7 linked regions of the Callithrix jacchus genome follow. The main gene of each other region encodes a partner of the protein of the gene in region 5 in a complex. Links are inferred from orthologs where the notes say so. Each region holds a gene or a part of one and is shown on either strand. Other genes may lie near its edges.

Region 1 (3,325 bases), on a different chromosome or scaffold from region 5:
CCAGTGGGATGACCCTCACTGAGTAGCAGCAAAGGAATCTGAGGTTTTGTTACACTTTGTTCTTCCAGGGTTGTTGTCGGCACTGGATCTTGTAGAAGTCAATCCTCAGTTGGCCACCTCAGAGGAAGAGGCAAAGACTACAGCTAACCTGGCAGTGGATGTGATTGCTTCAAGTTTTGGTCAGACAAGGGAAGGAGGGCACATTGTCTATGACCAACTTCCTACTCCCAGTTCACCAGATGAATCGGAAAATCAAGCACGTGTGAGAATTTAGGAGATACTGTGCACTGACATATTTCACAATGGGCATTCCAGAATTATGAGGCATTTGAGGGGACAGATACTAAATGGCTGTCTGGTCAATACTGCCTTAATGAGAATATCTGCATATTCTCACAAATGTAAAGTTTCCCTTCTATTTTGGTGACCAATACTACTATAAATGTATTTGGTTTTTTTTGCAGTTCACAGGGTATTAATATGCTACAGTACTATGTAAATTTAAAGAAGTCATAAACAGCATTTATTACCTTGGTATATCATATTGGTCTTGTTGCTGTTCCTTCACATTTAAGTGGCTTTCCATCTTTCCTTCCCTTCTCCCACAGTCTGGCTACACAGTGCACCCCTGAACTGTTAGCCCACAGCAGCAATATGCTTATTCTATCCACATCCCTAACATCATGCATTCACAAGGTCAAAGTCTGGTCCACAAACCCTTTTCTATAGGAAGTTCAATGGCTGCGAAAGAATTTGTAGTAAACCAGGCCTCCCAGGATGGCGAGCTCCAGTAAGATGATGATGGAAAGCAGCAGCTTGTTGGTTGTCACTCTACAAAGAAACAAAGTGGGGAGTAGTCAGAATTTTGGATAACCTACTTTGGGGTTTGACCTGGGACCAAGGCTGGATACTCTGAGGCTGTTTGTCTGATCACACAGCCACTTAGCAGGAAGTACATATAAGGTTCTTTAGCTGTCACTTAGGAATAATACTGTCTACCTCACAGTAATGTTAAACTGAGACAATAAAAACCAAAGCACAAAAATGATTTCTTGACTCTGAAATGTCTTCAAACAGTAGTTATTTCCTTTAAAAATAGCTTTTCTAGAAAGAGGGGTTATCGAGAAAAAGTAATCAAATATACATCCTGTTCAGAATGGGTCCTGCCCTAGGATAAAGTAACTTAGAAGCCTGGGTAATACCTTTCAATCCCTTGTAAACTTCTATTCCTCTGCCCTATTTTTCCCTTTGCTCTCCTATCAACCCAAATGGATATGTTATAAAGGTAGTACAGGAGCTTAAAAATCCAACCTCTGGTTCTCATGTTCACTCTAGGCTTCTTCCTCTTCCACAAAGAATTTACCACTGTAGAAAAATCTCACCCCTCCTGCTAGTTACATGACTGAGTTGTAGTTTTGTTTTATGCTAGGCCACCTGTACACAAGGTCACACACAATCCTCTCTTAAACCCAATTTCAACCTCAGTGGCAATATTTCTGCCCTGGATTTGTTGCTATTAGCACAAGGGTTTTGTTTTTTACTTTTGGTAAAGACTACTTTACTGGTGGCAGTTAGTACAATTCAAATATTGATCTTCAAAGAAGGGCTTAGAGATCTTCAAAAAGGGCTATTTATCAGACTAAGAGTCCATAGAGAGCTGAATGAAACTGAATTAAGTCACTGTGATGACTGGTCAATCCTGTTTCTTGGGAAATGAAACCATAGCCAACTGATGATGCATGGCATATGCTGCTTCACCAATTGAGAACCATGGTGGCTCTATATAGGAGGTCATCAGCTCCACCACCCTTTAGATGCCAAGAATTCCGTTCTCCTCCTGAAACAGCTTGTGTTTCCTGGAGCTTCATTTTCAAAATGCCTGTGTGAAGCAATGCTCCAGGTCCTCTGGGCAATCTGGCAGTGCCAGCAGATTCTACAGCATCTTGCCTCAGTTAATGCCCACCAACCCTGACAACTCCCTAAGGGTTTTATTTTTAAAAATCTACTTCTTGCTAACAAGACAGAACTTCCAGAAAAGGTGCTGACTCCCATGAAGGGCAAACAGAGCCAAAACACAAGTACTATGCAAGTGAAAACTGCTTTCTAATAGAGATTTTACAAATATATTTCAAGGAATAGGAAGCTCTGTTATTCCCACGTGCTGCGTTCTCTAACGAACATCAGCTGTGATTAAATGTCCTTTCAGTGGAGAAATTTTTCACTGCTCTAAGTCAAAGCAGTATATTCTTTTAACAAATGATTTTATCCTGAGCTACTTATCCAAGACCATATTCCTTAGTGTATTTCTTCTGATCTGCTGGGTAGCACTGAGTATACGGGGACTATCTGGCATCAACTGCTGAGGTGCTTTATTAGGACTTTTGTAAGTCACTATTTTAAGCTTTTTGGTTGAAAGACATTAAGACAAATTTCATGACTTTTAAAAACTTACTTTCTGGACATTGAACGGAGAATCTTTCGACTTTTGCTCAAGTTTTCACTTGTGTTTACCAGCTGAGAAGAGAAAAGAGTGATTATTTCCTTTCAAAAGTACATTCTGTACAATTTTAATATCCCTAGATTAACAGTGGGCATTAAGGGCTGTTGAAAAATTCCAAGAAATCAAGCCAATTTAAATGATGGCCTTTGCGTATAAGTAGAACCTGGAAAGGACAAGATATTTTAGTATTCATTAAGTAGGCTTACGAATCATTATATTCCTAGGTTGCTGCCAGGGATGGACTCCTGAGACTGAGCTAATCTTTCACTATGGCTACTCCAAAAGGGAAGCCTTCAAGTACAGCCAGCAGATTGGACAACCAGTGACTGCAGAGGAACTTAAGATCTGAATTTCATCAGCCAGATTTCAGGACAGCTTCTTGAGGTGGCATTTGCTTTTTGTTTTTGTTTTGAGAAAGAGTGTTGCACTGTCACCTGGGCTGGGGTGTAATAGTGCAATCTCGGCTCACTGCAACTTCTGCCTCCCAAGTTCAAGCGATTCTCCTGCCTCAGCCTCCCAAGTATCTAGGATTACAGGTGCCTGCCACCATGCCTGGCTCATTTTTGTATTTTTATTTTTTTAGTAGAGACAGGGTTTTCATTACATTGGCTAGGCTGGTCTAGAACTCCTAACCTCGTGATCTGCCTGCCTTGGCCTCCCAAAGTGCTGGGATTACAGGCGTGAGCCACCACGTCTGGCTGCATTTGTATTTGTAGGTTAGTGTGTTACTGCTTTTGGGATCTCGTTATCTTTTTTCTTTACCCTCTTAAGAGACAGTTACATTGAATTGTGAAAGGAATTAACCTCCATGGAACTTTCAACTGC
Region 2 (4,087 bases), on a different chromosome or scaffold from region 5:
CCAGGAAGAGTGTGAAGAATAAGAAGAGAAGATGGCGTAGGATAGAACCCTATGGAATGTGAACATTTCAAAAGAAAATGAAGAGCTGCCACAGAGGTAAGAGGAGAAGCGGGAGTGTATAGCATCTTGCATAGAGCTAAGAGAATAAAGGAGTTCAAAAAGGAGGAAATAAGGGCCAGGCGCAGTGGTTCATGCGTGTTATCCCAGCACTTTGGGAGGCTGAGGTGGACTGATCATGAGGTCAGAAGTTGGAGACCAGGAGACCAGGAGACCAGCCTGGCCAATATGGTGAAACCCCGTCTGTACTAAAAATATAAAGAATTAGCTGGGCGTGGTGACAGGCGCCTGTATTCCCAGCTACTCGGGAGGCTGACGCAGGAGAATTGCCTGAACCCAGAAGGGTTGCGGTGAGCCGAGATCGCGCCATTGCACTCCAGCCTGGGTAACAAGAGCGAAACTCCGTCTCAAAAATAAAAGAAGAGCTTGACTCTGATTCGGCAACAGGGAATAGGGATGGAAGAGGGATGGGTTTAGATCAAAGGAGAGTAGTAGTTATCATTATTATTGCTAAAGAATGGGAGAAAGGATTGGTGAGGGGTACAAGAAAATAAGAACATTTCATGGCAAAAATAGAGGCACTTCCTGTCAGCTGAATTCTATTTTGTCGGTGAAGAAACAGGCAATGTTGCCTACTGAAACTAAGCAGGAGAGACGGGGCAAGCGTGGCTCTTCATTTATGCCGCCTACTCACTGCTGGTAGAATCTTTTCTTTCTTTCTTTCTTTCTTTTTTAAGACGGAGTTTCTCTCTTGTTACCCAGGCTAGAGTGCAATGGCGCGATCTCGGATCACCGCAACCACCGCCTCTTGGGTTCAGGCAATTCTCCTGCCTCAGCCTTCTGAGTAGCTGGGATTACCGGCACGAGCCACCGTGCCCAGCTAATTTTTTGTATTTTTAGTACAGACGGGGTTTCACCATGTTGACCAGGATGGTCTCGATCTCTTGACCTCGTGATCCACCCGCCTCGGCCTCCCAAAGTGCTGGGATTACAGGTAGAATCTTTAGCCTGCATTCTCTCATTTGCGTGGATCCCTATACGGCGTTTGACGTTGTTTACGGCCAGAGCTGTCCCCGGAACGTGGCCAGTCGGAACTACTACTCCCGGAATGCACTACGGCTCCTGGGAAGTGCGGGGGGGGCGGGGCTGGGAACTTAGCAGGCCTAGCCCTGTTGCCTGCTGCCATTGGAGGAGCGCTCCCATTCCCAAGAGGCCACGCGTAGGCGGGGCGCTTCACGCGGAAGTTAGCGGCGTCGGGTCCCAGCCTCCTCTGGGAGCGGGCAGTTGGCGACCCTGCGCTGACCCGCGCCCCTAGGTCCCGAGCCCGCGCGCCCTCAGAAGGTGCCCGGACAGGTAAATGGAGTGGGGCGCGCTCTGTGGGAGGCGGAAACACAACTGCGGAGGGAGAGGGAAGGTGTCGACGGAAAGGTGCTGGGGTGGAGCGGGTAGGCAGTGTAAGGGTGACTTGGGCTTCTCTGGTGTACACAGTACCGGTTGTCGGGCAGGTCCGGTTTCGGCGAGGTGCGTCTTTTGCCGCTGGAAAGGCCTCGAGTTAAAAAGAGTGTCAGAATGCGTCACTTAAGCTGTCATTACAGGAGGGAAAAAATGTTAATTTTCTCTCAGTTTGCATTCTACAAGACTTTTCTGTACCATTTAAATCGCTTGAGATCGACCGAGTCTTCTAAAAACTCTCTGCGTCCTTATTCGATGACGTCACTTTCCGCTTCACCTACTTCTGGCTGTTTATGCTCCTTCGTGGGTTCCTGGCCCCTTATTCACCCTTCCTCCACTGCTCATTATTGACAGTCCACTTCTTCCTCTGTTTGGCTAGGAACTGTATCTCCGCCTAGACCTGTTTCCTCATCTTCAGACCTGTTTGGTGTTTTTATTAACCGCCAATGTTTATCAAATTCTGACCACGTGCTAGCGTCTTTGGTAAACGCTTTACATCTCCCACTCCCATAACTCTCACAATCAGCTGTCTTCATTCGGCCTCATTTATTGCTTTCAACTACCTGTATCTCCATTCTCCCTCCCTTGATCCCAGAGATACAGCCATGTTAGGGATATTAATTACCTTTGAATACTTGTGGCTGAGAGCAGATCCATTCGTATGTTTAACAAATATTTATTGAGTGGCTGATCTGTGCTTGACACTCTTTTTTTTTTTTTTTTGAGACGGAGTTTCGCTCTTGTTACCCAGGCTGGAGTGCAATGGCGTGATCTCGGCTCACCGCAACCTCCACCTCCTGGGTTCAGGAAATTCTCCTGCCTCAGCCTCCTGAGTAGCTGGGATTACAGGCACACGCCACCATGCCCAGCTAATTTTTTGTATTTTTAGTAGAGACGGGGTTTCACCATGTTGACCAGGATGGTCTCGATCTCTTGACCTCGTGATCCACCCGCCTCGGCCTCCCAAAGTGCTGGGATTTTACAGGCATGAGCCACCACGCCTGGCCGACTCTCTTTTTAAGTGCAGGGGATACAGCTGTAAACAAGACTTAGGTTGCTACACTCAGGAACTTACATGTTTGTGTCTAGAGGGGAAAACAGAAATAGGATTATGTTATATATTGCCTAATGTGAAATAAAACAGGTGGTTGACTTGAAAGGGTGGGATCCTATCCTAAGAAAGTCAGAGAGATTGGATTGGGTCTCAGAGCATCATCCAGAAAGAATAGTTGTAATACTAACAGGAATAATCTTGATCTATAACCTGACTTCATAAACACCTCTCCTTTTCCCCTTTCTAAGCAGTGTTTATTCTTCATTTTTTCTATCTCCTCCAAGCTTATTGCATCCGAATTCTTGGTTTATCTGTAGTTACTTTATTCTTTCTAACTCCCAGATGGAAGAGTTGGGGATTGGATTACTGTTAGCTCAACTGCTTTATCTTACTTCAAAAGGTGATTTGGTTGTGAAAATATTATTCTTACTAGGTCTTTCTGAATATAAAGTTATCTATCATTTATAGTGTATTTAAAACCAAAGTATGCTCAATGTTCACTTACTTATTCAACAAATACTTGAGGGCATGCGCGGTGGCTCAACCCTGTAATCCCAGCACTTTGGGAGGCCGAGGCGGGTGGATCACAAGGTCAAGAGATCGAGACCATCCTGGTCAACATGGTGAAACCCCGTCTCTACTAAAAATACAAAAAATTAGCTGGGTGTAATCCCAGCTACTCGGGAGGCTGAGGCAGGAGAATTGCCTGAACCCAGGAAGCGGAGGTTGCGGTGAGCCGAGATCGCACCATTGCACTCCAGCCTGGATAAGAGCAAAACTCCGTCTCAGAAAAGAAAAAAAATACTTGAGGGAAGGTTAACTGCTAGGCACCGTGCTGAGCACTGGGAAAGTAGGGTAAAATAGACACTTTGGCCTCTCTTCCACGGAGAAATAATCCTAACAGTATAGTGAGGAAATTCCTAAGGCATAAGCTGATACCTACATTCCTGTTATTCACCCAAGGTGAGATCATCACAAAGCATTAAGAAATTTCCTGAGTGGTTGTGGACAGTCTTAGATTATTCACTTATTACACTTTATCACATTTATTTATATCTGTCTTCCTCATTGTACCATGGCTCCCTCAAGTATAGGAGTCCCTTCTTCATCAACTTTATACCTCCAGTGTCTACTTTGACTAGCATATAGCAAGCCCTCAGTACATATGTGTTGAACTGAAATAGAAAAACTCCATATCTGATCAAATTTAAATGACATGATTTATACAAGACCTTCTCTATGTAAGGCCATCAGCTGTATTCCTCAATCTTGTCATTCACCAAAGGTGGACCATTCCATCTCATCAGGCTAGTTTATGTACCTTCTTTACCTTGTTCTCACCTCTATGCCTTCTCTTGTTTCATCCGTTCCTCCTAAAATGATCTCCCATCTCTTCCCGAGCACCTTGTCTACCGCCTTACTTTAGTGGGCCAGTTAATTTAATGGTCTGCTCATGATACAAGAATGGAGGCCGGGCACGGTGGCTCACGCCTGTAATCCCAGCACTTTGGGAGGCCGAGGTGG
Region 3 (3,500 bases), on a different chromosome or scaffold from region 5:
ACTTAGGAAACTGAGGCAGAAGAACCACTTGAACCTGGGAGGCAGAGGTTGCAGTGAGCCTAGATCCCACCACAACTTGGGCAACAGAGCAAGACTCCATCTCAAAACAAACAAACAAACAAAGTTAAATGTATTTGGCCGGTTGTGATGGCTCACATCTGTAACCCCAGCACTTTGGGAGGCCAAGGAGGACAGGTCCCTTTCGGCCAGGAGTTCAAGACCAGCCTGGCCAACATGGCAAAGCTCCTTCTCTACTAAAAATACAAAAATTAGCCATGCATGGTGGTACACACCCGTGGTCCTAGCTGCTCAGGAGGCTGAGGCATGAGAATCACTTGAACCTAGGAGGGGGAGGTTGCAGTGAGCCAAGATCATGCCACTGCACTCCAGCCTGGGCAACAGGGCAAGGCTCTGTCTCAAGCGAAAACAGAAACAAAAGCAAACCCCTGCAACGACTCCCGATGGCACTCAGAGTGACAGCTAAAGCCTAACAAATGTCCTAAGAGGTCCCACAGTTTCCCTCTGACCACACCTTGTACAATTCTCTTCCTCATTTATCCCATCTGCAGTGGTCTCTGCGGTCCTTTAACTCATCAGACCTGTAGGCCTTTATGCTGGTTCTTCCCTTTGCCAGGGTCTATGTAGTTAATTTCCTCACCTTCTCCCAAGTCTGATGCCACCTTTTTTTTTTTGAGGCACGCTCTCACTCTGTCACCAGGCTGCAGTGCAGCGGTGTGATCTCGGCTCTTTGTAACCTCTGCCTCCCAAGTTCAAGCAATTCTCCTGCCTCAGCCTCCTGAGTAGCTGGGACTACAGGCATGCATCACCACACTCAGCTAATTTTTGTATTTTAGTAGAGATGAGGTTTCACTATGTTGGCCAGGATGGTCTCAATCTCTTGACCTCGTGATCTGCCTGCCTCGGCCTCCCAAAGTGGATTACAGGCCATCTTCTTTTTATTTATTTATTTTTTTTGAGACGGAGTTTCGCTCTTGTTACCCAGGCTGGAGTGCAATGGCGCGATCTCGGCTCACCGCAATCTCCGCCTCCTGGGTTCAGGCAATTCTCCTGTCTCAGCTTCCTGAGTAGCTGGGATTACAGGAACACACCACCGTGCCCAGCTAATTTTTTGTATTTTTAGTAGAGATGGGGTTTCACCATGTTGACCAGGATGGTCTCGATCTCTTGACCTTGTGATCCACCCGCCCTGGCCTCCCAAAGTGCTGGGATTACAGGCTTGAGCCACCACACCTGGCCCGATGCCACCTTCTTAATAGGGTCTACCTCCCTCCAAACCTGGCACTCTTGATTGTGTTGACTTTTTTTTTAACATACTATACTATTTATTATTACTTTTTCACATCTATCTCCCTACTAGGCTGTAAGTTCCACAAGGGCAAGGATTTTTTTGTCTTTTGTCTACTGCTATATACTCATGACCAACTGAATGCTAAGCACCACAGAGGAGGAGCAGATAAAACCTCTTGTCACAGCAGGAGGCACAAGAGGAACAGAGGCCAGCCCATTGTTGGGCCTCTGCCTACATCCCTGCAGTACACCCTGTACTTCTCTATCCCTGTTCATTACTTTCTAGCAACACTGGCCTTGTTGATTCTTGCGTACAGCGAGACTGTCTCATCATAAGGCCTTTTCTCTCGCTGTCCCCTTGGCCTAGAACGCTCTCTTTTCTTTGCATGGCTAGCCTACCCTCTTGCGATTCAAGTCCACTTAAATGTCATGTCTTCAGAGGAGCATTCCCCGCCACAGAATCTGATATACCTCCTCGATCACTTTCTTTTTTTTTTTTTTGAGATGGAGTCTCGCTCTGTCACTTAGGCTGGAGTGCAGTGGTTCGATTATGGCTCACTGCAGCCTCGGCCTCCTGTGATCAAATGAGGGAGGCCTCAGCCTCCCAAGTAGCTGGGACCACAGGCATGCACAACCACATCCAGCTAATTTTTTTTATTTTGTAGAGATGGGGTTTTGCCATGTTGCCCAGGCTGGTCTTGAACTCTTGAGTTCAAGCAACTGTCTGGGCCTCCCAAAGTGCTGGAATTAGAGGTGTAAGCCACCATACCCATCCATCACTTTCTTAACACATCATCCCTACTTTAATGCTCTGTATACAGCCCTTATTACTACCTGAAATTTTGTTGGTCAATTTTTAATTTTTATTTTTTGAGAGAGAATCTGGCTCTGTCACCAAGGCTGGAGTGCAGTAGCACGGTCTTGGCTCACTGCAACCTCCGCCTCCCAGGCTCAAGCCACCCTCCCACCTGAGCCTCTCGAGTAGCTGCGACTACATGCCCATGCCACCATGCTTGGCTAATTTTTGTAATTTTTTGTAGAGATGGGGTCTCACTTTGTTGCCCAAGCTGGTCTCGAATTCCTGAACTCAAGCCATCTGCCTGGCTCAGCCTCCCGAAGTGCTGCTTTTGGGATTACAGGTGTGAGCCACCATGCCCGGCCTAGTCAATTCTTTTCCACAGCTGTCCTCATCTGCTCTATCAAATTCCATACACATGTTACAAAGTAGCTCCACAGAGACTTTACTGTCCTATTTGCCACTATATCTCCAGCACCTGGAACAGTGCCTCACATGAACAGGTGCTCAATAAATACTTGTTGGGTAGATGAAAGCAGGTGAACTGGGTCCCCTGGGTAAGCAGGATTCACTCTATCTTCCAAGAGGCATCAAGCAATCCCTGGGAACTTTAAGATGCCAATCCATGGGGAAGAGAAGGCTCCTGTGTCTGGGGTGAGAGAGTGTGTCTCACCTCTGAATGGTTTCCTCCTGTTCCTTAACCATGTGTGCCAACTGCTGAAAGATGGAGCCCAGCTCAACAATTGTCGATTCAATGTTCTGCATGGTGTCTGCCCGGCTCTGGATGTAGGAATCCTTCAGGAGAGAGCACATGAGCACCATGAGCTTCTTCAGGGTCAGACCTGCATCTTTACAAACCGCCCAGCTTGCCATTCTGCCCACGGCACACTCCAAACACTGCCTTGGGAGTCACAGAGGATAATGGAGAAGCTGATTCTCCCAAGTTCAGAGGCTGGGTACCTGCTCGTCAATGAGCTGCAGCTGCTGGCTGGTCCGAGAGTCCATCATGTCGATGGCGACATCCTTGGAGGCACGAGACTCTGCCCCCAAAACAACAGCACCACCCCCTGGGGGAGAAAACAGGATGTGGCACATCTTAAGTTAAAAGGAGGATCAAAGCCCACATGCTCTGGGTTTGAATCCCAGCTCTGGCACTTACTAGCCTTGTGACCCTGGACAGGTCATTTTAACTCTCTGAGCCTCAGTTTTCTCACCTGTAAAATGGGGGATAATAATAGTTGCTTTCTCAAAGGGTGGTTGTGAAAATTAAATGAGAATGTGAATAAAGATAAGTGTACCAAACAATCAGAAATTATCATTCTTCTGGATATACCTACATTCACTCCAACAGTGAGAATGCAGGATCATGAATCTCAACCATCTGGTTCAGCCTAGC
Region 4 (4,088 bases), on a different chromosome or scaffold from region 5:
CTACATTTCCTTAGGTCTGACAATCAGGGCTAAATCTGAATCAGGATATGTGCACCAGACTTTTCTGTATAAGGAATCCAGGCCAAACAAAATAACACCAAACTTTTGACACATCTAACTGTAGTGAAAGCACAGGACATCCATCACTAGTTCTTCTAGTTAAACTTTCCACAAGAAAAGATGCGGAGTGGGAAACAGTTGCAAGTATAGAAGATAACACACAAAGCAATGACAACAGAAAATCAAAACTGCTTAAAAGAATATATGTTTCCTCTAGGTCAGGGGGACTGTGTCCCTGAACAACACAGCCCATATACTCACTTGAGGTGATGTGACACGTACCCACATCAATACATAGCAGAATTGGAAGTTTCACTGCCATGTGGTCCAACCCTGTGACACATGGACAAAGTTCTTCTCAAACATCTCTAAAAAGCAGTCATCACTCTGTTTAATGACTTCCAAAGACAGGGAACTCAGCACCTTAAGGGACTGTTGCTGTTACTATCTCTGAGGCCCATAAACTCAAATGCCTAAAACACATTTTCACCACTCAGGGAGAGGTGGAAGTGGTTACAGGACTCTCCAAAGGGCTTGCCAACCCAACTGTTGCCTCTTGCCTCTCCAATTCCCAAATCCCCCCTTTCCTTGAGCAGGACTCAAAATTAGCACAGTGCTAATAAATCAGTGGTTTCAGAGTTAGAAGGGGCCCTTCAAAAGACAATATTATACCACAGTTCTACAAAAGGAACCCCAGGAAGTGCTTGGGACAAACTGGGAGTATAGGGAGGGAGAATGTCCTGTTTCTCTTCCTCTCATTTCAACCTAGGTAGCTCTCACTTTGATGTGTTATATAGAGAGGATCAAGGTAGTTTTTTAAAAGGAGGAGGAGGAAAAAAAAGGATCATTCACAGGTAAATAAAATAAGGTCTTAAAACTTGCTTAATGAAATCATGTAGCTAATAGTTGCACCGTCAGACAACAACCTGGTCTCTTGGCTCGCTCCATCTTTGGTGCTTTCTCTATCATATAACATCTGCCCACCTACAAGGCCAAATTCAAACTCTGCAGTGATATACAAAGCCCTTCAAGATCTCCCCCTGCTGCCACTCTATTCCAATTTTTATGAGAAGTCCCACATTCCAGTCCCACTCAAATGTTTATGAACCAACTTATGTCAGACAATTACCTACCTCCAGACCTTAGCGCACACTATGCTCTTAGCCTGAGATGCCCTTCCCCACCTTGTCTGTACTGAAACCAACTAATCCTCTTTCAAGACTTGTTTGAAGCATCATCACCTCTATAAAGCCTTTTCTGATCCTCAGGTAGAACTGACCACATTCTTCTTTGTGCCCTACACAACACTTACAGGGCTTTACAGTACTTGTTTTATTTCTATGTCCGTATCCTCAACCACTCCTTTTACATCATGTTACTCTAACATGAGGCTGGTCAAAAGGTAAGTGCTTCATAGATGTTCATCAATGGGGTAAGTGTATTCATCTGGTCCAATCCCCTTTCTGAGGTTTAAGTATCTTCAGCTAACTGTCATTAATGCACGCATGCATACATTCATTCAAAAATATCTGAATGTCTATACAGTGCCAAGTGCATGCCAAGCAGAGGTAGATTTAGCGTGAAATTAATGAAGCTTAAGCTTCAGGGTCCCTCACTTCAAACTTCCAAAGCTCTCAACCTTTCTTGGCGGTTTTCTTCTTAAAAAGAGGAGACAGAATTATATAAGCTTTAGGCCCCACAAAAACTAGATCCCCACTTGGTGTCACATATACAATAGGGAACAAGACAAACATCTCTCCCGTTGTGCAGTTTTCTGCCTCGTGGTAAAGACAGCCATTTATTCATTCATTCATTCAACAGACATTTACTAAGCAATGCTGTATAAGTCATGCATTCTGAGATGAAAACAACACTGTCCCTTCCCTTAACGAAAAGGTTCCTAGTCCCAGGGAGATGAAGGAACACCTGCTCTGTCCAGGAAACAGAAAGTAGTTGAGATGACTTAACACTGTGAAAGATTATCCTAAACCTGTCTCAAGCGGAACTGAGTCCTACTTATTGCGAAGACAAAGTAAAGAAAGAGTTCGGTTTAATACGGTTTTAATCTCAACTGGGGGTGGGAGGCAGGCAAGCAAACAGAACAGGCAAATACAGTGTGGTCAGTGCTTCGACAGGAAGCGAAGGACTGTGAGGAAACTTCCCGAGTGCAAGTCTGTAATGACAGCGATCTCATGACCTCACAAAGCCGCCCATGCACTTTCCAGATAGAGATTTCTGAGCGTCTTCTTCTTCGCCCCCTAAACCCCGCCGCCGAAGGAGAAATCCGTTCCCCAATAATGCGTCCCCCTTCCTCAAAATAAGGCTGCTCCTTCCCCCAGAAGCTGTCGGCTGAGGCCAACTGTACTGTCCTCCTTGGGGCCACACTCTTTACACAATGCTTAAGGGACGAGGTCTGGTTTGGGGCCTGGGGTCCCTGTCGCAGGTCTGTCCCCTCCTCAAGCCGCCGTTTCCATAGCAACCAGCTTACCACTTCGCGGGCCCGGCTGGAGAAGTCGCCCTTGGGCCTGGGGCTCCGGCGGAACAGCTCATCCCGGCTGCCATCGACCCCGCCGCCCACCGCCACTCCCAGCGCCTTGTTCCGCGTCTTCACGGTCTTGACGCTGGCCCGGAATAGCAGCGTGATATCCACCGCCATAGCGACCCGCACCCGCAGCCCCAAACGGGACCCGCCCACGTCAGCAGCCAGCGACCGCGGCGCTAATCCGCCAGCTAGAGGACTGGTCCTACCCCGCACGCCTCCCCCCGGCAACGGTGGCGCGAGAAGAAAGGTTCCGGCCTGCGCCCGGCTACCGCGGCGGGAGGAAAAAGGTTCCGGCCTAAGCTGGCGCGCCTAGAGGAGGAGGGACCCGGCAACGTGCTCACGGGTAGTCCCTTCTCCAGGCAAAGCTTGGAGGGTTTAGCAGCACGGAGAGCTCTCCTATGTCTGTCTGGGGCTTGTGGGCTCCGGGAGCATAAAGACCGGAAAGCTGGGAAGTTCCTTCCCTTCTGGTGGCTCCCTCACTGAGCCCGGACGATTTGGTTGCGGGGGACGCGAAGGCGAGACCCCCTTGACCTTTGACTGCAAGGACTCACCCTGAGCATGTCAGAGGCACGTGGACGGTGACCCTCGGGGTGCAATAAGTGCTGGGACAGAGCAGGTGTGCAGGGCACAGAGCCAGAGGCCTTTGTTCTCCAGCCTTCCGCCACCTCTTCTGTAAAGGGAAGCCAGCATCCTCCTCGGAGTTTACTGTGAAAATTAAATGACCCGACGCGTGCTGTTTTGGTGTTTCTTGGCTCCCAGTAAGTGGCCAATAAATGGTAGTTATCGTTAATATGTTGTTATTATAATAATAAAAACATATTAATAAATGTTATTAATAAATATTATAATTAATAAATATTATTATAATCTTATTTGTGGTGAGAAAGAGGCTCTAGAGAGAAGGCGTCACCTGTGCAGAGATTTGAAGGATGAATAGGAACTTTAGATGGAGACAGAGGTGAAAGGGTGACCCTAATGCCGCTGGATTCTGTTCATCCTTCATGCATAGTTTTCAAATCTTGAGTCATAAACAATGACAAGTCAGTCAATGAGTTTCTTCTGCATTTTTTGGTTCATGGTTCTGGGGTGTGTGTGTGTGTGTTTAAGATGGGGGTCTCACTATGTTGCCCAGTGAGATTACAGTGGCTGTTCAAAGACGCCATCCTAGCTCACTACTCACTGGAACCCCAGGGCTCAAATGATCCTCCCCCGCTCCGCCTCCTGAGTGACGGGGACTTTGGGCATGTGCCACCTTGCCTGGCCTATGGTTCAGTGTTAAAACAAAATCTCAAGATTTTTTTTCATAAAGAGAATGCACAAGTAGAATATGTGTTAATGCAGTGGTTTAAATGGTCACCAATATAAAACTCTTTTCATAATACTAAGACGTTACTTGCCTTTTCACTCTCACTTCCTCATGAGTTGTATACACTTGAGTTTGTTAGAGACTGTGTGTGATATTGCAACGGAATGAATGCAGAACAGC
Region 5 (3,500 bases):
TTGTTTATTTGTTTGTTTGAGACAGTTTCCCTCTGTTGCTCAGGCTGAAGTACAGTGGTGTGATCTCAGCTCACTGCAACCTCCGCCTCCCATGTTCAAGTGATTCTCCTGCCTCAGCCTCCTAAGTAGCTGGGATTACAGATGTGCACCACTGTACCTGGCTAATTTTTGTTGTTTTTGGTAGAGATAAGGTTTTGCCATGTTGGACAGGCTGGTCTCAAACTCCTGGCCTACGACGATCTGCCCACCTCAGCCTCTCAGAGTGTTGGGGTGACAGACATGAACCGGCAAGCTTGGGCCTTTTTTTTTTTTTTTTTTAAGTATCTATAGCATATACATGGTCATATAGAGAAATAGGAGAGGCCAGATATAACTAAGATCTGGGAATGAGGTACAGTCTAAGGCAACAAATCTTTTCTTGCTCACCTCACCTTCCAGGTGTGAGATGTGGATAAAAGGCTCCCACATCCCCAATATCTCAAACTTAAAGGATCAGACGTCCAACAGTCTCCTTTTCAAGTTTCCTCTGACTTGATTCATCTGTTTCTAAATGGTCATTGATTTTTATTTCTCTAAGCTCAGCTAACCTGTGTGAGTGAAGAACCTGACATACAATATTTGCTCAATATTTATCAAAGAAAAGGACATGAATTTTTTTTTACGAAGTTCAGAGCCAGTTTATGCAAAGGCAATTTTTATACAACTATTTGTCAGTGTTGATTTAAATGGCAGAGTTGCAGCTTAAAGAAGTATATTAATCCTTTGGCCATAATGTGTGTTTTCTCACTTCAGGCAACAGAAGCAGCAGTATACTAACCAGCTTGCCAAAGAAACAGACAAGTACATTAAAGAGTTTGGATCTCTGCCCACCACCCCCAGTGAACAGGTATGAAGCTTTAAGACCCATTGTTGATGTATTGAATGTGAAAAAAATCAAATGCATTGTAGGATCTTTGAACTCTTATGCTAAAAAGGAAATCAAAAATAATTCTGCTTGACATTAGTTCACAGAACACAAAACTATATTTAATTGCTCAGGTAGTATCCTGTGGTTCAATAAAGCAAAAATTATTTCCATGCATTTGCCCTGACCCGTAATTAAGTAAGTTCTCAGAAAATGCTTCCTGAGTAATTATTTCCTGGCCTCCCAGGTCTGACTTCATGCAACGTGCAGACTCATTCAGCATGTGAGGTGTCCTGGGGGAACATATTTATTTCCCTGCTTATGCAATGGAAGTTATTACTTAGCTAAAAGCATAAGGCTTTATTTGTCTAAAAAGGAATTGCTTAAAATAGGCTCAAAATCATGAGCTAGTGTTTAGCAGCGTGAAAACTTGAGGTGACAAATCCAGCACAATGGGTCTTTTGCCTCAAGTTAAATATGTACAGTGTTTGACATACTGTCAGAATGTTATTGAGAGTTAATCCGTAAGGCCTGGTAATTGGGGAGTAAGTGAAAACTTCAGGATTAGATAAAGAGCCAGCTAATGATAAAACAGCTACCAAATTCTGTTGAACTTCACAGCTTGATTCTACTTGGCCTTGTTTTTTCTCTTACCCCTAGCGTCAAAGGAAAATACAGAAAGATCGCTTAGTGGCAGAGTTCACAACATCACTGACAAACTTCCAGAAGGTCCAGAGGCAGGCTGCTGAGCGAGAGAAAGAGTTTGTTGCTCGAGTAAGAGCCAGTTCCAGAGTGTCTGTAAGTATTTAGAGAGACATTCTAGAAATAAACATGATTACTTTTTTTTTTTTTTTTGAGACGGAGTTTCGCTCTTGTTACCCAGGCTGGAGTGCAATGGCGCGGTCTCGGCTCACCACAACCTCCGCCTCCTGGGTTCAGGCAATTCTCCTGCCTCAGCCTCCTGAGTAGCTGGGATTACAGGCACGCACCACCATGCCCAGCTAATTTTTTGTATTTTTAGTAGAGACGGGGTTTCACCATGTTGACCAGGATGGTCTCGATCTATTGACCTCGTGATCCACCTGCCTCAGCCTCCCAAACATGATTACTTTCTAAGGGGCCCATGAAAGTCAGTAGTAGCATACGATCTGTGAATATCTTGGAAATCAGCACTTGAATATTTATTTTTATGCTTTTCTTCTCCATTTTTAGAGAAGGATGATAATTATGTATTACTATGGTTATTTTTTCTGTGTCATTTTATAGAATATTATAGATTATGTAAAAATTTAGAGACATAATTTGTCAGAAAAGATTAGGGATCAAGTCCTCATTAGTATTCTCATATTGTCTTGGCACTGAGGCTTTCTGCTTGTGTACACACTAATATAGAAAGCACTTTCCTCCTGGATTACACCAAGATGACAAAGATGAATGGTGCAAGTATGTTGTATGAATATTGAAAATGAACATGAGCCTGGAGAAAATAAATGAAACTTTTCAGTAGAATTTTGAATTAATCTAATTTTAAATTCCCTTATAAAGTATCATGAGTTGTTTTCTTATTCCTTAACATACGGATTCCAAGACTGCATTAAGCTTTAACCAAGTAATACTTGAGAATATTTAGTATTCTAACACTTTAGAATATTTAGTCAATTCCTTTCTTGTCTACTTAGAATATAAAATTACTTATAATTATATTATTACTTGAAACAGTTGACCTGAAAAATTAAAACAAGAATGTCTTTCTCTCTCTGTACACAAACACACACACACACATACACACACGCGCGTGCACGTATATGTAAATCAGTTTAGATTATCATAAGGGAAAATATGAGTGTTGTTTATTTTTTCTTATTTTTCCTCTCTTTGCCCCTTCTCATTCCATCCTGTTACTAAATTATTCAGGGCGGTTTTCCTGAGGACAGCTCAAAAGAAAGGAATCTTGTATCCTGGGAAAGGTAAGAAATAGAAAATATTTTACAGATCAAAAGGTAATTTTTCAAAGTTTATACATTAAGGTCCCTAGAACAGAATTAAAACTTTCAGTATATTATATCATAAATACCTTAAGTTTTTTATACATTGAAAACAGAGAGTAAGTTTGAAAAACAAATTCACTAATTATAAAGTATTTATTATATATAAAATTTTCCAAATAAATATTTATGGACTTAATAGACACATTCCCTTATATGAGGTTTAAGTCAGGTGAGAAGAAATACCCAGTTGCCCAATATAACTTCCAATGATTAAGTAATAACACTAAACTCATATTAGATAAAATGATATAAGTGAAATGAAAAATGAGTAAAATTTGATTATTATAGTCTTAGAATTTTTTAAGTGAGAAGTTCTGTGACTTGGAAAAATAAAATCTCCTATTTAATGAATATATCTTAAATAGGAAATGAGTCTCATTGTTTTGAATACCAACCAATCTTTGTTTTTTTCCACATTCATTTTTTTCTGTTAGCCAAACTCAACCTCAAGTGCAGGTGCAGGATGAAGAAATTACAGAGGATGACCTCCGCCTTATTCATGAAAGAGAGTCTTCTATCAGGCAACTTGAAGTAAGCCTTACATTATA
Region 6 (4,084 bases), on a different chromosome or scaffold from region 5:
AAACAGTAGTCTTTACCTTCTGATTCTGATCTAGATCCTGAACTTGGAAACAATTAGAACCTGGATCCAAATTCTGTCTGAAAGAAACAGAATAGGCTGGGCTCATGCCTGGAATTCCAGCCCTTTCAAAAGCCAAAGCAGGATTGCTTGAGCCCAGGAGTTTAAGAAGCCCAAGCAACATAATGAGACTCCATCTCTATTTTAAAAAAAACAAGATTAGCCAGGTGCAGTAGCTCATGCCTGTAAACCCAGGCTGAGGCGGGCAGATCACGAGATGAGGAGTTCGAGACCAGCCGGGCCAACATAGTGAAAACCTGAAAACCCATTTCTACAAAATTACAAAAATTAGCCAGGCATGGTGGCACACACCTGTGGTCCAAGCTACTTGGGAGGCTGTGGCAGGAGAATCGCTTGAACATGGGAGGTGGAGGTTGTGCTGAGCTGAGATCATGCCACTGCACTCCAGCCTGGGCAACAGAGCGAGACTTCACCTAAAAAAAACTGCCACTCATTGACACAGCTGGCAGTGTTCTGCATGCAAAAGTTTCTCATTTTTACCTGGAAAGCAGGTTAGTACAGAGTCCCTCTTACTGTCGAAGTGTTTACTACTCCCATTAGCTGGTGTTTGAAGAACCCAGACAGCTTCAAGCAGAGGATATACCCAGGACTGAGCCCCTTCATTGGCTGAACTGAGATACTCAGCATCTCAGTTCTTAGAATACCCACCTGTATTCTGTGACGCAACTGTTGAAATTTCTCTTTTACTTTAGTGTTCAGTTCAGTAAGAGTACTTAAGGGTCCTGAACAATCACGGATATCCTAGGAGACATTGAACAGATAAGAGGCCTTTCTCAAGGCAGTGAAATGAAATGACACCATCCATAAAGTTAGAGTTGGTTTAGACCAACTGATATTAACGTACTGACTGTAATTCGTCCTGATCTTTGCTGTTTACCTCTGCAACATGGGCAAAAATATTATCATTTACATTTTTCTCATTCCTCTTTAATGTTAAAATTACTATAAAAGCCTAGAAAGAAACACAATTGCTTTGACCTAATTTTTAGTTCCTAAATTTTAATAAAATCTTATGTGGCCAGTATGAAAAAGCTTAAAACAGCTTGTATGCCCAACAAGAATGGACATGCAAAAGCAATACTATTAACTTCAGAATCTGAGATCCTTCCAACTTGAAGATCAGGATGCTTAAATATCTGGCATCATATGATGAGATTAACTTCTTCATTGTGATTTGACAAACCATCAGTGATAAGTCAGAGTGTTTATACAGACATGTTTAAGGGCAGATTTAGAATCTGTTCCTGGACATTCAGCAACAGATTCAGCAACAGCTGGTGCCAGGTTTCAGAGCAGGTTCTGGAGACAGACCATGTGGATTCTAATCCTGGCTGAAGCAACTTATTAGTTGTGTAAAGTTACTTGGAAAAGTTATTTAAATTCTGTCTCAGTTTAAATTCTCCCCCTCATTGCAACACTACTTATCTCACAGATCATAGATCATACATGCATGTAAAGCACTTAGCAGAGCAATGGAACACAGTAAGAGTGCAATAATACATCCAGCTATAATGAATCTTTCTTATCAGGAATCACAAGAACCCAAATGTTAGAAAGGGTACAGAAGGGTGCTTAAGCAATTTAGATTAAGAGAAAATGCAATTTCATTTGTATGAAACTTGTTTATTTTTCTATAACTGACCCAGAAGTTCTGTAATGTACATGTCAGAGAAGTGAAGTTCAATAAGTTTTAAGTATCTCCATCAAATTTCAATTTTTCTCTGGCTTACTCATTTAATCACACTTCTTTGCACCGTATGATAAACTACGAATTTGGTTTATTCTGCATCTGGTTTATCTGGGGAGCCCTACTTTCCTGCACTTTTGCCACACCTTGTTACAAACTCATTCTGAGTCTACATCTAATGTTTAGTGACTTCGTTGAAAATTATTTGCTTTAAACCAAAGTTTAAAACTCTTGGTTTCTTTTTGCTAAACTCATGGAACCGTGTCTACGTTCCTAATTCTTGCCTACATCAACTCGTTTATCTTACCTCTACCCTTAAATGGCTTAAGGCAAAGCATCTCATTTCCTATCCATACAAACAGATTAACACTCTAGGTGTTTTTCCTAGACTGACTTTCCCAGTCCAGGTCCCAGTTTTGCCATTGACCCAGATCTGCCTTCTAACCTGGGCCTTGGCGCTATATTCGATTTCCTCAAGCATAAAATCACAACTACGGCCCAGGTTACTTTGGTGCCTCCCGTGCCAGGTGGCAGGGGGCGGGGCTAGCGGCCTCCCGGACGCTACTAGGTGATGGGGAAGCAAATGTCAGAAGGCGGGGCCAAGCAGGGTGGCAGGTATGTTGTGAGGTGGTCACGGGCGAGGCGACGACTAGGGCAGCAGGTGGAGGGGTAAAGCCGAGCCGCGAAGCATGGGTCAGAGGCGGCGAACAGTGGGGCGCTCTGGAAATGGGCGATCCAGCAGCACTCGTAAGGAGGATCAAGGCCAGCAGTCACGGGGACAAGACCAAATGGGGAACAGGGGGTAGCCGGCCATGGGGCGGAGCCAGTGGCCTGAGAAACCAATTGGGGAAAGTTCCGCAGTTACACTGCCGCGCTCACAGACCAGCAGAGCTTGGGTCAGGGCTGCTGGAGCCCGGCAGGGGTCCCGGGATCAATACCTGAATAAGGGCCTTCACCTCCAGGTCAAATTTGACTATCTCTTGGTTACAGATCCGGACGTGGACATCTTGGAGAGCCGCCATGTTGGGGACGGACGCCGGCTACGGGCAGCGGCAGGGTCCAAGTTCAAACGCGTTTTCGCACCGCCTTTTTCCCTCCCCACCCAGTCTGCGGGCAGCGCCCCCCTAGAGACCGGCGAAAATGGCAAGCGAGGGTCCCTGCTTAACAGTTGGAACTTTACCTGACACGTGGAGGGAAATCAGCCTCTCCTCTTAGTAAGACCCTATTAACATGGAGAGGAGGATAAGAGGGAATATCAAGAACGCTTCACAGTGATCTCTTTCCAACTTCCTTCTGTCAGGCATTCTAATAACTACGTATTTTTTGCATAGAAAAAACAAAGATGGGAAGAAAAGTATCAATTGGGATGTCTCTGGAAAGTACAAGTAACAATTTTTTGTTTCTTTAAATTTTCTTATATTTTTAATATTTTCTACAGTGAGTATAAATTGTGGAGTAAAAGAGAAAATTATAAACGTTATATGCTTTTTAAAGTATGGAGTTCAAAGCAGGTCGGTAGAGTTCCTCCTAGCACTCCAACACGATTCTAGGGATCTTTGGAAAACGTGAAATTGATCAAGTCACCTCCCTGTATGCAGCCTTTCTGTGGTTCCTGATGATTCTCTTTTGTATACCCTCAACAAATCGTGACTCTTTTATTTTTGTTGGTAAATAATGCAACTTTCTTAGCTGGTTCTCAAGGCCATCAGCCACCCCGGCCACCAGCCACCCCATCCTGCAGGCACCCTTCTTGGATCCCTCAAGCTTTCTGGATATGTAGTCTTAGAATGTGGTGTTCCCTTTTCCTAGAATGCTTTTCCCCACTCGACCCCCCTCCATCTGCTTTTGTTCATGTCACTTCAGCAAGCATAGCTTGTGAAGAGCTGAATGCCCTAGGACCTGCATGTTCATCTCTTAATCCTCACAGCCATCCTTGAAATTGTACTACTAGTATTATAGATCAGGAGATGGGCTGAAAGTAGATTAAAACAAAAGAAAACAACCAACCCTGCCCCAAGATTACCCATCCTGAAAGTGTCACAGTCTCTACTGAAAGCCATCTTTTCCCCAAAAAATCAACATGGCCCCCACTTGTAAGCGGGGCTCTGTGCTTGTGTGTTCCTGCAGACCTCTACACACCCTCTCGTAAGGTACTCATCACCCCACTGCACCTAATGGAGAGGCAGTGTATCACAGGAATCATATCTGCCAGAGCTCAAATCCTGTCCACAGCATACTTTGCATGCCTGTGCCTGTGTCCTCAGAGGCTAACTGGTGGTAATCAATAGCACCTTCACAGGTTGGAGGATTGAGTAATAC
Region 7 (4,052 bases), on a different chromosome or scaffold from region 5:
CCTACCCGTCCCTGCCACGCGTGCCCCCCCCCCCGGCCTCCGGATACAGCCCCTGCCTCGCTCTCCCACCCGTCCCTGCCACGCGTGCCCGACCCCGGCCTCCGGATACAGCCCCTGCCTCGCTCTCCTACCCGTCCCTGCCACGCGTGCCCGACTCCGGCCTCCGGCGGCGGCTCACCTCCTGGTTGTACGACCGCAGAGCTTCCATAATCACATCCTCCTTCCCCGTCTCCACGGCTGCTGCAACCGCCCGGGGCTCCATGGCGCCCCCGGGACCCGCCCCAGCCGTTCCGGGCCGCAATTCGCCGGCCCCGCCCTGGCCCAGAGAGCTCCGCGCCAGCGCGCATGGGAGGCCGGGACGGGGTGCGGCGTCGGGCGGCGCCTTCAGGGGGCGCGGCCTGGAGCCGAAGCGGCGGTTCGAAGGTTTCCAGACCCGAGTCGCCCTCGACCGAACTGACCCCTCTCCTTGTGACCCGCGCTTCTTGGGCAGGAATTTCCAACGGGAAAGGATCTCAGCCCCCACCTCGCCCTGCCACACACACAGCGCCGCCCCTGGATCTCCACAGAACGGATGGGGTGTGGAGGGGGAGCCGAAGTGGGGGACTTTTCAGTCCTGGGCCATCGGGTTCGTTAGGCGTTTGCTGGGGAACGCAGGCGAACGGGACTCCTAGGTCCATGCTTTCGCGGAGCTTTTGTTCCCGAGGGGAAGGCACACAAGCAAACACCAAAGGACACGAGGCTGTGCTTCAAAACGGGCAGCGAGGAAACGCTGCTTTTGCTGACACCGGACGACAGGAAGTGGCCGGGAACAGGGCTCCTGCTCGGGGGGGCCTGCTCCCTCCTCATGACGCGCCTGTGAATCCTTCCCCGCCGTTAGGACCTAACCCACGGAAGCGTCTATCCCACACCGTAGTCCTGGCACCGAGCCAACAGCCCCGCCCCGCCCTACGCTCACAGGAACAACAAACGTCACATCCGCGGTGGCGCACACCAGTAATCCCAGCACCTTGGGAGGCCGAGGCGGGAGGGCTGCTTGGCCCGGCAGGCGGAGGGTGCAGTGAGCCGAGATCGCGTCACTGCACGCCAGCCTGGGACGGTGCGGAAAATGAAAGGCACATCCGTGCCGCGCTCCTGCGACCGGCGGTTCCCAACTCGTAGCCCTCAGCCGGAAGTCAGCGAGTTCAAGGCGGAAGGGGCAGGGGCATATAGGGGCGTGGTCGCTGCGGAGGCGGGGCCGGAAGTCCTGCCCCTTGACTGCGCCACGTCCGAGGCGGCGGTTGCCGCGTCGGTGTCGGCGTTGAAGAGCCGGGGAAGGCACCATGGCGGACTGGGCTAGGGGTGAGCGCCAGAGAGCGGAGTCGTTGGGGGCGGGGCCGGGCCCGGCCGGAGCCGACGCTGTTACCTGCAGAGCCGCGTACGCCTGCCTCTAAACTGTCCTCGGCGGAGAGGACCCTGTCACGGGGGCAGATTCGGATCCTTCCGGGTCCGAGGGGGCGGCCTAGCCGCTCCAGCGAGGGGTCGCGCAGCTGCGGGGTCCCCCAACTCTCCGCCATTCCCTGTGAGATCGTTCTGCGTGGGTTCGGGGTGCGGGAGCCTCCGCATTCGGCAGGTCCCGGGGCCAGGCCCTAGGAGTACAGGCCACGCGTGCACCGTTGGTGTCCAAGCAGGCGTCTGCTAACTTGGGCCTCGATGGCCCCAGTCCCCCTCCCGGAGCCCGTGTTCTTGTCTGCAAAGTGGGATATTGATGTTTGCCTGTCTGTGTTGCACCCGTTGCTTACATTGAAGCTAGGCAGCAGGTGGTTCTCACCTACCTGATGTGACAGAAATTCCTTATCACCTGGCCCAGCCTATCACATCACAGGCCAGGCCGCTGCAAGCACTATGCTCTGGGTGTTGCGGGAAGCCCTCTGTGGGATGCAGACCAAGGATCCCTCTCTTGGTCGACCTCAGCTCCCATGGTGGGGAATTGGGAGCTTGGCTCAGACCTTTTTTTGTGCGGTAAAGCGCCTTCTCAACATTCTGTCCTGGTTCCTTGCCACCTCTTCAGGAGCCAGCTCTGAAGTCGCCCCTGTAGGAGCCTTCCTACTGCTCTGCTGGGTACTTTCCCCAAGCCTTTCCTACACTTTTACACAGATGGGACCTCCATGGATGCAAGTGTCACATCTTACCAGCATCCCAGGGCTGGGTGCAGTTTCTGCTACACAGTGTGGGAAACTGCTGGTTGCACCGAGCCTGTTGTGGGTGCTTGCCCATCCCCACCTGGATGTGTACACAGGGCGTGTGTTCACATGACATGCGCTTACTTACACACATCGTTCTTTATGCAGCCTGCCTCACATGTGCAAGATCCACCTGCTGGAACCTGGTTAGGGCCTTGTGTCTGCCACCTGCCCAGCAGACACAGGGCCCAGTCCCCCTGGATTTCCAACTCACCCAGATGTGGTTGGAGCGACGGGTCAGGGGCCGTGCTCACCGGTGGATGCAACCCCTCAGCCTCTCTCTCTTCTCAGGTCAGAGTCCTGGTGCTGTGGAAGAGATACTAGACCGGGAGAACAAGCGAATGACCGACAGCCTGGCCTCCAAAGTCACCAGGCTCAAATCGGTCAGTGGTGGTCTCCTGTCCTCTTACCTCTACCATGTGCCCTTGGGGGGTGGGGGTCAGAGGAAAGGCAGACGGCCCAGAGGAGTTTCAGGCAGTTTTCTATCCTCATGTGCTTTGTGGCTGTGCTCACCTGCATGAGGCCCCACCTGGACCTCTCTGCTGCTGCAGCACTCTGGCAGAGTTGTTGGCAGGGCTTGTCTGGTCTGGGGAGGGTGAGTGCTGCATTATGTGTCTGCTCTGGCCCAACCCTGCCCTCTCTGTGCTGAACAGCTTGCCCTGGACATCGACAGGGACGCAGAGGATCAGAACCGGTACCTGGATGGCATGGTAAGGGCCTGCCCCAACACTACCTGCTGTAGAGCCTGCAGTGTCTCCTTCAGCACTGGTGCGGGTGGGTGGTGAAATCACCACTTCTGTGTGATCTTGCTGGGATTCCCCCTTTAGGACTCGGATTTCACAAGCATGACCGGCCTGCTTACAGGGAGTGTGAAGCGCTTTTCCGCAATGGCAAGGTCTGGACGGGACAACCGGAAGCTTCTGTGTGGCATGGCCATGGGTCTGATTGTGGTCTTCTTCATCCTCTCCTACTTCTTGTCGAGGGCAAGGACGTGAACCAGTGGGAGCTGGTGTCTCTGGGTGCCTGGCGTCTTGGGCTCCAGAGAACTTACCTACAAAATACTCCTTTGAAATTACAATTGTGGGTTTGGAATCTTCTTCCTGTGGGGCAGGAGGCTGTGGCAGCCTGTGACCTGATGAGCTCATGTTGGCTGTGGAAGGGACTCTCTTTTGGGGAAACCAAGGGCCAGCCCCTCCCTCCTCCCCCAGGTGCTAGAGACACCAGCAGAGTTGGGGCCACAGCATGTCTGGAGGAGCCAGGTCCAAGCGCAGCAGCTGTTGAATCCCAGACGTAGCCACTTGAGGCCTGCAGCCTTTCTCCCAGCTCTTGGGACGCTGACATCTTAAGGCCCTATGGCTGTGTCCTTGTCTGGGTGAGGCCATGTCTGTGATCCAAGGTGCCTGGAGCTGACACAGGAAGGGACTGTGAACCCTGAGTGAGTGCCATCTCCTCCGACTGAGGCCTCTCAGCCTGGAGATGACGGTTCCTTCTGGCCACGGTTGCTAGGCATGGGCAGACCAGCGTGGGCTACTCTGCTGTGAGTTTTCTCTGCCTGCTCTCCAGTCCTGCGGATGAAGTGAGACCCTTGGGGAGAACTGGGGTGTGGATGGAGTGAACTGCAGCCTTGGCCTAGTGGCTGCGCCTGGATCCTTCTGGGTCATGTGACTGTATCCAGGAGCAGAAACTTGCGTTCTCAGGAGTCAGGATCAGCCCAGCACCAAAGACGTGTTTTCGGGAGAGCAGACCTAGAAGTGGGCCTGTTTGGCATTTCAGAGTCAGGCAAACCTGTGGATCTACACAGGAAGGTTCCTGTGAGGACTCCAGTTGCCGCCT

The links.
Region 1: STX7 (region 5) and VTI1B share a complex: the UniProt entries of both Homo sapiens proteins name them as parts of the SNARE complex. The link is inferred for Callithrix jacchus from reciprocal best matches to the Homo sapiens genes STX7 and VTI1B.
Region 2: STX7 (region 5) and VAMP7 share a complex: the UniProt entries of both Homo sapiens proteins name them as parts of the SNARE complex. The link is inferred for Callithrix jacchus from reciprocal best matches to the Homo sapiens genes STX7 and VAMP7.
Region 3: STX7 (region 5) and STX5 share a complex: the UniProt entries of both Homo sapiens proteins name them as parts of the SNARE complex. The link is inferred for Callithrix jacchus from reciprocal best matches to the Homo sapiens genes STX7 and STX5.
Region 4: STX7 (region 5) and STX18 share a complex: the UniProt entries of both Homo sapiens proteins name them as parts of the SNARE complex. The link is inferred for Callithrix jacchus from reciprocal best matches to the Homo sapiens genes STX7 and STX18.
Region 6: STX7 (region 5) and BNIP1 share a complex: the UniProt entries of both Homo sapiens proteins name them as parts of the SNARE complex. The link is inferred for Callithrix jacchus from reciprocal best matches to the Homo sapiens genes STX7 and BNIP1.
Region 7: STX7 (region 5) and BET1L share a complex: the UniProt entries of both Homo sapiens proteins name them as parts of the SNARE complex. The link is inferred for Callithrix jacchus from reciprocal best matches to the Homo sapiens genes STX7 and BET1L.

What each region holds. Positions count from the first base shown.
Region 1 is NC_133509.1:102,650,717-102,654,041, forward strand, and holds the end of VTI1B (vesicle transport through interaction with t-SNAREs homolog 1B), read right to left. Parts: intron 2,515-3,325; coding exon 2,453-2,514; intron 1,046-2,452; exon of another isoform or gene 832-1,045; coding exon 735-831; 3' UTR 501-734; downstream 1-500. Other genes in the region: ARG2 (arginase-2, mitochondrial), read left to right, coding at 69-274. UniProt on the Homo sapiens protein: V-SNARE that mediates vesicle transport pathways through interactions with t-SNAREs on the target membrane. These interactions are proposed to mediate aspects of the specificity of vesicle trafficking and to promote fusion of the lipid bilayers.
Region 2 is NC_133524.1:151,451,215-151,455,301, forward strand, and holds the start of VAMP7 (vesicle-associated membrane protein 7), read left to right. Parts: upstream 1-1,287; 5' UTR 1,288-1,410; intron 1,411-4,087. UniProt on the Homo sapiens protein: Involved in the targeting and/or fusion of transport vesicles to their target membrane during transport of proteins from the early endosome to the lysosome. Required for heterotypic fusion of late endosomes with lysosomes and homotypic lysosomal fusion.
Region 3 is NC_133511.1:120,101,370-120,104,869, forward strand, and holds part of STX5 (syntaxin-5), read right to left. Parts: intron 3,172-3,500; coding exon 3,065-3,171; intron 2,900-3,064; coding exon 2,778-2,899; intron 1-2,777. UniProt on the Homo sapiens protein: Mediates endoplasmic reticulum to Golgi transport.
Region 4 is NC_133504.1:184,727,321-184,731,408, forward strand, and holds the start of STX18 (syntaxin-18), read right to left. Parts: upstream 2,801-4,088; 5' UTR 2,717-2,800; coding exon 2,549-2,716; intron 1-2,548. UniProt on the Homo sapiens protein: Syntaxin that may be involved in targeting and fusion of Golgi-derived retrograde transport vesicles with the ER.
Region 5 is NC_133505.1:139,118,048-139,121,547, reverse strand, and holds part of STX7 (syntaxin-7), read left to right. Parts: intron 1-792; coding exon 793-886; intron 887-1,564; coding exon 1,565-1,702; intron 1,703-2,818; coding exon 2,819-2,871; intron 2,872-3,386; coding exon 3,387-3,483; intron 3,484-3,500. UniProt on the Homo sapiens protein: May be involved in protein trafficking from the plasma membrane to the early endosome (EE) as well as in homotypic fusion of endocytic organelles. Mediates the endocytic trafficking from early endosomes to late endosomes and lysosomes.
Region 6 is NC_133503.1:65,504,998-65,509,081, reverse strand, and holds the start of BNIP1 (vesicle transport protein SEC20), read right to left. Parts: upstream 2,801-4,084; 5' UTR 2,788-2,800; coding exon 2,704-2,787; intron 820-2,703; coding exon 727-819; intron 1-726. UniProt on the Homo sapiens protein: As part of a SNARE complex may be involved in endoplasmic reticulum membranes fusion and be required for the maintenance of endoplasmic reticulum organization. Also plays a role in apoptosis.
Region 7 is NC_133511.1:131,726,067-131,730,118, forward strand, and holds the start of BET1L (BET1-like protein), read left to right. Parts: upstream 1-1,252; 5' UTR 1,253-1,319; coding exon 1,320-1,338; intron 1,339-2,510; coding exon 2,511-2,602; intron 2,603-2,872; coding exon 2,873-2,929; intron 2,930-3,046; coding exon 3,047-3,214; 3' UTR 3,215-4,052. Other genes in the region: RIC8A (chaperone Ric-8A), read right to left, coding at 179-262. UniProt on the Homo sapiens protein: Vesicle SNARE required for targeting and fusion of retrograde transport vesicles with the Golgi complex. Required for the integrity of the Golgi complex.